Linked DNA regions of Caenorhabditis elegans. The protein of the gene in region 1 binds, or shares a complex with, the protein of each later gene. Each region holds a gene or a part of one and is shown on either strand. Other genes may lie near its edges. The genes, in order: cap-2 and cap-1.

Region 1 (4,199 bases):
CAAACAATGTGAGAGAGAGCGAGAGAGTGGTGAGACGTAGAGATTGAAAAAAAAAGAGAGAAACAAAACCAAAGGGAACCTTTTGAATGACGACAAGAGGAAAGGAGAGAGCAGAACCAGTGCTGTAACAGAGAAAAAGAAATAATGACGAAAAAGATAAAAGTCAGGAGAGAGAGAGAGAGAAATGGTGGAAAATCATATTAAAGATAATATTTTAAAAAAGTGCTGCTGTACTTGGAAAAATTGCAAAATTTTTCAACTAGACCCTAGTTTCCTAGTTTTCCAGCATTTTAGTGTTCGGCTGGGAGAATATAACTACGATTTCGTCGAGGAGAATTTTCTACCAAGAAAATATATTTTCCAGTGAAAAACGCTTATCCCATGAGAAAAACCAAGGAATTCTCACTGAAAATTGTGATAAATAAGACAAAAACTGCCAACAAATATTAAAATATACTCGGTTTTTAGACGAAAACTATCAAGAAACGGCGCAGTAATCCTGAAAATCAGATAGAAAGTTCTAGAAAAGCCGGTATAATCTGAACTCCACGTCAATTAGGTCACCTAGTTTCGATATATCACTGGATTAACGTGAACATTTTTATTTATTTAAAAAGAAAACCCTTCAGGTTACAGGAAAATTAGCTTTTTTTCGCGAAAAAACATGTAATTTGAGCGCCGAAACATATGGTGGAACCCCCCTTGAACAGAAAAGTCGGCATGTGGCTTTAGTGACAACTGATCTTTTGTCTTCAGAGGAAGATATTGTGATTCTAGAGAACTTTGAACTATTTGGAGTCGGAAAAAACAGAATGTAGTTGCGGAGAATGCAATAAAATTGCAATTATTTCTTTTCTTTTATAGTGACGATTTCAGGGAAAATTGTAAAAGCCCTTTGCAGCGATAAAATAATTAAATTCAACGAAAATTCAAAAAAGAAATCCATTAGCAAAGCGGCAAGATCAAAAGAAAAGTACAAGTTCTGACCGTGGAATGTTGACTGTCCTCGTTGATGTCCAACATTGAACTCGATCTTTTCATAGTATGCTCACTGACTTTCGAGACGGCCTTTGTTCTTTTTGCACGCTGAAGCTAGGTTATAATGATTTGAAGTCAATGGAAAGTGGAATTTTTTGGCAATTTATAATGAAAACCTCCTTAAAACGCACGTTTAAACGTTGAAAATGCTTTTTTTCGTTTTTTAACGTTGAAAACCAAATCGGGAGCCAATTTACAGAAATGTGCGCGAATTTTCACCCAGTTTTTCAAAATTTTCACATTTAAATACTCACTTCAGATGGAAGGTTGCGGCAGTGACGTTTACTCTGACGCGCTCCAATTTTGACTCGTTTTGGCTGCAATTACTGAAATAACAAAATTTAGTGGATTCGGTGTTTTCTCGGAGATGAAGCGATGAGAATGTACAGAACACGGATAAACTTGCGATGAAAATTTCATGTCAATTAATTTAAAATTAATTTTTTCGGTTTATTAACATAAAAATTGACGGAAAAAACTTAAATTTAAAAGCTCGAAGAAAAAAACAAAAATTTGAAGAACTCTGGCGAAACGCCAAAAGCTCGCGGGTCTCGCCGCGATTTGCCGACGAGAGTGACTATGGGTACGGTGGAGGGACGAGAGAGTGAGAGAAACGGAGTGTAAAATCAATGAAGTGGTCGCTCCGTTTCGCAACTTTCCTGCTTTCTAATGGCTTTTAAAATATATTTTTGCGAAATTTAATCTTATTTGTGAACTAAAAAATCATTACCCAATCGTTTAGAGTCTTTTTATGTTTTTAATAGGTTGTAACGACTTAAAATCTGACATAAAAGTTTATTGTTTCAGGGAGCACACCCACATCCGGCTCGAAACTATCAAAAATGGTATTTTAATAAATATTTTAAAAACAATTTATAATAAATATTTACCAGGGAGAACAACAGCTCGATTGTGCCCTCGACTTGATGCGAAGACTTCCTCCACAACACTGCGACAAGAATTTGACGGACCTCATCGATCTGTGCCCTCATCTTGTTGATGATCTTCTCAGTATGTTTCCTTTTTAACTAATTTAAAAAAATTCGCTTGATGGTTTTAGGCACTATCGATCAACCGCTGAAAATCGCCGCGGACCGTGAGACCGGCAAACAGTATTTGCTTTGTGACTACAATCGAGATGGCGATAGCTACAGGTATGAGTCATTTTATTTGAAATCTATCGATTTTTTCTGATAATTCAGATCACCATGGAGTAATACCTATGATCCACCACTCGAGGATGGACAATTGCCATCGGAAAAGCGCAGAAAAATGGAAATCGAGGCAAATGCCGCTTTTGAGTCATACCGTGATTTGTAAGTTGACAGAAAAATCATATATTTGCTCATAAATAATAATAATTTCCAGATACTTCGAGGGAGGCGTCTCATCAGTTTACTTCTGGGACTTGGATAATGGAGGTTTCGCCGGAATTGTGCTCATCAAGAAAGAGGGAGACGGAGCCAAAAATATAACAGGATGTTGGGATTCTATTCACGTTATTGAGATCACGGAAAGAGTTGGTTCAAAAACTGTTGAAGAGTTTTTTTTTTTAATTTATAATTTTCCAGGCACGCCAGGCTCACTACAAGCTCACCTCCACTATCATGCTGTGGCTGCAGACAAACAAAAGCTCCAGCGGTGTGATGAACCTCGGTGGCTCCCTTACAAGACAGGTTTTGGTTTCGAGTTGTGAATATATTTAAAAAGAAATATTATAGCATGAGATGGATGCACCAATCAACGATCAGAACACACACTTGGCTAATATGGGACGAATGATTGAGGATCAGGAGTCGAAAATGCGTCTGACGATCAATGAGATATACTTTGGAAAGACGAAGAAGGTAAGCAAAATGCAAATTTATTATATGAAAAAAGTTTCATTTTTAAAAAGTACAATTTTCGAAAAAAATATTTTCCAGGTGATGTCGGATCTCCGTTCAACAGAGAAGCAGAGTGAGCTCGAGAAGCAAGATGAGATCGTTCGCGAGTTGAACAACGCCATGGCTAACCGCGGAAACTGAGTGATCTATCTACATTTGCAGCTCAAAATCTCTCATTTTAATGCTTTATTTGCGAGTTTTGTATATTTATCTACCATAATACCAGCTTGTTTCTTCTTTTAAAACCTTTTTTCATTGCCTTTTCTCGAGTGTAAACTTTTTTTCTAGAATTATTAAAATCTCTTTTCCCACAATTTCTCCTCGCTCCAAAGTGTATGTGCTATGGCTTTTCCACAATTTATTACCAAAATGCCTTGATGTTCCTTCCGAGAAGAGCTTGAGCTTTTCCTGGACCATTTTCGTTCTAGGTGCTCGTTCGACTGTTTTGTATTTTGCAATGTAAATTATCCTCTTTAAGATTACTTTTCATTTCAATTATATTTTCGATGAAAGTATTTTATTCCTTAAATTTAAAAAAAAAGAGAGGGTCTTCATCACCACTTTGAGAAATCTCCAAGGCCTGCTCTTGCAAATTTAGTTTTCTTTGCGGCCTCCAAGGGTACATCTTCCATTTTTCCTTGTCGTTTATTCACAGCTGCGGCCGACTTCATGTACTTGCCGACTCCAGTTCCAACTGCTTCTGGTTTTGTTGCAGTTTCTTTAGCTTTTTTATTTGCTAATGAAGCTGCGTCCTTAGAAGCTGAAAATAGATATCATTAGTTTTAAAATTAGTAATAGAATTAAGAAACTTTTCTTCAAAATCTCTGCTCTCTCAGCTTGAACTTCTTTCTCAGCTTCTTCAAATGGATCCACAAATACTTCAGCTCTCATAATAACAACTGAAACCATCGGAACATCAGTTCCCTCTTCAGTTTCCAACTTTTCAATCGTCGTTAGTGTATCCTGTCCTCCAACAAGTCTCCCAAAAATTGTGTGCTTTCTGTCCAAATACTTGCACGGCCGGAATGTAATGAAGAATTGTGATCCGTTGGTGTTAGAGCCCTTATTAGCCATCGAGAGCACACCTCGAGCATCATGGGAGAAACCGGAGATGAATTCATCTGAGAATGGCTTATCCCAAATTGATTCTCCACCATGTCCTGTACCAGTTGGGTCGCCTCCTTGCAGCTGAAATTTTTAATTATTTTTTGTTATAACTTTAACTATTTTTATAATAAATTTACCATAAAGTTTTTAATTAACCGATGAAATTTG
Region 2 (4,443 bases), on another chromosome or scaffold:
TAAACAAGCTGTTATATTCTAATTTATATCATTATTTATACCTTAAAAGTATATCTATGAATATTATCAGTTGTGGAACACTCCTCCTTCCCCTCGTTGCTCAAAAATTTTTTAAGCTTGTTCAATTTGCTCTCATTTTCTTTTACGTTTTCCTTAACGTTTTCGCACAGAGAGCAGAATTTACTGAAAAGCCAATTCCTATTGTTAGTTTATATAAATTGCAAACCAACCATGTAGTTTTACCACCGAGCATCTCTCTCAATTGGGAGTTATAACTCTCTGGACACCATTGAGATGGACTAGTTACGTTTGCACAAATGCTCTCAACTCCACGAAGATTTTGAATCGCGTCTTCTGATTTGCAGGGAACGTTTTGGCCAAGTTGCATAAATGCTTCAATGTATCTAGAAGAAAGAATGTACCATTTTTTTTTTCTATTAGACTGTTATCGGCATTGCTTTACTTTGACGGTTTAGTTTATCGAAAAAAAATGTTTTCACTAATAAAGTAAAGAAAACTATGTTATAAGTGTGTTCAGTTCGCACTTTTCATGAAACCAAAAAACCCGGGAAACCCCCGTCGAAGAGGTGTAAAGAGGTGCAAGTTTAATAGGGAAAAATACGGAATCTATTACGATTTTAAGAGATTTGCAGGATTCAATTTTACGAATGAACTCCAGTCTTAAGTTTCAGCTCTAACTTACGGATTCTCGATAGGTCTCAGCATCTTAAAGCTGACTTTAACTCTATAGCATCCAGGGAAATCAATTTGGCGAGTTTCTCCATTAATATCAGTAATTGTTACTTCATCTTTTTCTTCATCTTCTTCCTCTGGATTATCATTCTTCAACATTTTCATTGTGATCTTCAACGAGCTCTCGTCAATAACATCGGAATCCACTAAACTTGGTTGTAAATTAATTGTAAAACCATTTAATTTTTATTTAAAAGAACAAACCATTCGGACAACTTTGTGTGACATTTTCTCTAACTTGAATGTGAACTTTTCGGCATGTTGCCAGTGCTAAAACAGTTAGGAGTAGTATGAGGAATCTGAATAACATCTTTGAATATTCTGAATTGTCTAACAATTTTCTTTTATAGCATTTTCAGTTGATCGTGATCATCTTGACCTAGTTATTCGAACAACTAGAATATAGCAAATCCGTTGTTGCCGGACTATTATTAGAAGAAGAGGAAGCGAACACTTTCCGAAAAAAGAGTGGAATTGTTTGCATTATGAACAACGTTTTTAAAACATTTAACCGGAATTTTTTAGATCCAAAGTTTTTTATTCAGATTAAACAATTTAATTGATCAATTCTGAACTATTATTTCAAGTTTGAAGCTTAGCGTTTTCTGGTTCATCAATTTGATTTTGCAGTTTAAGAAGCAGAGGAAGGGAATTCCCGAAAAAAATGCATTGTTTGTTTTATGAACAACGTTTCTATATAAGTCGCATTGATTGAAAGATTGCAATGTTCAAATTTCGGTTTTTTTTCTTGGACTGAAATCTACCGTACCACTTCCAAAATTTCGTGTTTCTCGAATTATATTTCAGACGCAAATAATTAATATTTCTCGTAGCACAGGTTATTCTTGGCTTTTCGACATAATTTTCTTTCAAATTTTCATTGACATGCTCTCAAATTTCAAAGATTTTCTTCTCTAGAAATGCTCTCACATCTAGTACATATTCTCTCTTCCAGCGAATTTTTCACAAATTTTAAGTGTAAATAATGTAATTGAATTCTGAACATGGTTCAAATGCTTTTTATTTTATAGACTATTTATTACTCATTTTTTATAACTGCTTTAGTGTGCTTTCTTTTTCGCTGAAGAATAAAAAACATTTCAAACTAAATATCTCAAGTAATCTCTATCCACTTTCCGTGTGGTGTCTCTCGAAAACGCAAGCGCGCTCTACGGCTAAAATCGATGCGCTCATTTCTCTGTTTGTGATTCATTTTTGTTCACTCTTTTATTCAATGAATCACCACTTTTATTTTGTCAATCTTTATTTCTTTTTAGTTATTTGATAGAAATATATTTTTAAAATGTTTATAAGCATAACTCTTTCTCGTTCAGAATGTCGGAGATCAGTGACGCCGAAAAGGTCCGCATTGCTTCGGATTTCATTAAACACGCGCCACCCGGCGAGTTCAACGAGGTAATTTTTTGTCGATTTTTAGGAGAATTGCTCGTTCAAGCTTGATATTATAGTCATCAAAAAATTTATATTTCGCAATTCACTTCAATTGTCAATTTACCTTTCCATTCAGGTATTCAATTCGGTTCGGATGCTTTTGGAAAATGATGATCTTCTGAAGAACAAATGTGTTAATGCTATCGCTCAATATAACGTTGGACAATTTGTGCCAGTAAAGTTGGATGGTGTTGCCAAGCAGGTATACTATTTTCATTTTTTAAACTTTCTTCAAATATTTAATTATTTTCTTCAGACTCTGATCACTCCATACAATGATTTGGGTAATGGACGTTTCTACGATGAAGTTTCAAAGAAAAGTTTCAAATACGATCACGTCCGTAAAGAGGCCGCAGATCTTCAACCACATCCAGCCGAGTCTGGAATAACCGAACAATGGCGTCAAGCTCTTCAAACTCAACTCGATATATATATTGATGATCATTACGCGAAAAGTGGAACGGGAGTGGTTTTTGCTCGAAACGGAGTTTTCACGATTTGCATCGAATCTCATCAATTCCAGCCAAAAAATTTCTGTAACGGAAGATGGCGTTCGGAGTGGAATGTGCCGGTTGGCGATGGTAAATCAGGATCTCAGGAGATGAAAGGAAAAATTTTGTCGCAAGTTCATTATTACGAAGACGGAAACGTGCAGTTGTTCTCTGAGAAAGAGCCGGTTCTTAAAGTCAATGTTTCGGTAAATTTTTTTTTCCATAAATTGATCCAATTTAGAAGGATAGAAAAAAAAGTTTTTCATAAAATTGTGAAGAACAAAATAAAATCACAGGAATCATTTAAATTATATTTTTCATAGAGCTATTTAATCGAATTAAAAATTGGCATATAAAGCCCTATTTTCAGGCTGACTTCGACAAAACCGCCAAAGAAATAATTCATGCCATTTCCGAGGAAGAGACTATATATCAGAATGCTGTACAAGAGAATTACGCTAATATGTCTGATACCACATTCAAAGCACTTCGTCGCCAATTGCCAGTTACTCGCGCTAAGATGGACTGGAATAAGGTATCGTAATTTCACAATATTTCGGAATGCCTTCGGAAAAGTGCACAGATTTATTCAGATGGGTCTCGGTGTTTCTTATTTTTCTGTTAACAAATGCTTCGAATCAGTTTTATATCCCTTGTCATGCAGACACAATAAAAAATAATTGTGATTTGAAAACTAATTTAAAAAGAATTTTAACAGAAACAAGAGATGAAGCCGACAAAATTCTCTAAATGCGAAGTAATTTCTTTGAAAAAGATTAAGCAAGGGCTACCATAATAAATCTGTGCGCCTCTACAAAGGCATGTCAAAATTTTCAGAATTGATAAAATAAAAAGAATAAATTAATTTTAATTCAGGCTCAAACCTACCGAATTGGTCAGGAAATGAAGTAATCACAAAATCGTTATCACATCGCTTTGCTTCAAGTTCGTCTGCTGGTCTTCATCATCTTCCTAATCCTCTCCAAAAACCAAAAAATCCTCCAATTTCGACCTTTATTTCTCCCACTTTCCTTTATCCTTTGGCCGGACACTAGACGTGCTTTACAACATAATACCCTTCGTTTGCTCCGCTGCTTCTTTTTTCATGATTTGATAATTTGTATCATCTATGTATCTAATTTTATTGTATGGTATGATTCATTTTTCAATTATATATTATTTGTGTGTGTGTGATTAAGAATTTTCGAGATATTTTCTGATTTTAGAAAGGTCGCGCACCTTTTGATATATATTTAAACGAATTAGCTAAATAGTTAATATGTGTTCGTTTAATTGAAGAAAATTCAGATGCAAAACCTCACTGAGGTTCTCAATGCGACTTTATTGAGCAACTTGTCAGATTTGGTATCATCGACAAGTACGGTATCAACCAGCACGACTACAACTACCACGACGGAAATTCCATTGACTAGTAAGCTTTCAGAAACATATTTCTAAGATTACACATTTTTTCAGCATCTTTTCCTCCAAGTGATCATACAACTGCAACGTCGATCGCCTTCATTTCCTTGGTAGTTTTTGGAGTAGCATGTGCTCTCATTGCGAAAATTGTGATAAGCCATAAGAAAAAGTGAGTATCCTTTCGATTTATAAAACATTTATTCTCAATTTTAGGAGAGCTGAATTAATCGGATCAGCACGATGGAGAATTTCTGCTTCAAGACAAAGCGCATCTTCGGCTTCTAGTGGCGGAATGGGCCAAAATTCTTCAGCCACTTATCTTCCC

Evidence for each region.
Region 2: cap-2 (region 1) and cap-1 share a complex: the UniProt entries of both Caenorhabditis elegans proteins name them as parts of the F-actin capping complex.

The regions. Positions count from the first base shown.
Region 1 is NC_003280.10:10,867,351-10,871,549, forward strand, and holds cap-2 (F-actin-capping protein subunit beta), read left to right. Parts: upstream 1-1,845; 5' UTR 1,846-1,880; coding exon 1,881-1,883; intron 1,884-1,931; coding exon 1,932-2,049; intron 2,050-2,098; coding exon 2,099-2,192; intron 2,193-2,240; coding exon 2,241-2,354; intron 2,355-2,406; coding exon 2,407-2,557; intron 2,558-2,609; coding exon 2,610-2,714; intron 2,715-2,759; coding exon 2,760-2,885; intron 2,886-2,963; coding exon 2,964-3,065; 3' UTR 3,066-3,477; downstream 3,478-4,199. Other genes in the region: gmps-1 (putative GMP synthase [glutamine-hydrolyzing]), read right to left, coding at 988-1,041; cyn-4 (Peptidyl-prolyl cis-trans isomerase 4), read right to left, coding at 3,479-3,684, 3,734-4,112, 4,169-4,199. UniProt on the Caenorhabditis elegans protein: F-actin-capping proteins bind in a Ca(2+)-independent manner to the fast growing ends of actin filaments (barbed end) thereby blocking the exchange of subunits at these ends.
Region 2 is NC_003282.8:7,227,868-7,232,310, reverse strand, and holds cap-1 (F-actin-capping protein subunit alpha), read left to right. Parts: upstream 1-2,087; 5' UTR 2,088-2,088; coding exon 2,089-2,169; intron 2,170-2,281; coding exon 2,282-2,407; intron 2,408-2,461; coding exon 2,462-2,902; intron 2,903-3,066; coding exon 3,067-3,231; intron 3,232-3,572; coding exon 3,573-3,608; 3' UTR 3,609-3,889; downstream 3,890-4,443. Other genes in the region: D2024.4 (DUF19 domain-containing protein), read right to left, coding at 42-183, 231-404, 704-899, 958-1,063; D2024.5 (Mid2 domain-containing protein), read left to right, coding at 4,005-4,128, 4,173-4,287, 4,332-4,443. UniProt on the Caenorhabditis elegans protein: F-actin-capping proteins bind in a Ca(2+)-independent manner to the fast growing ends of actin filaments (barbed end) thereby blocking the exchange of subunits at these ends.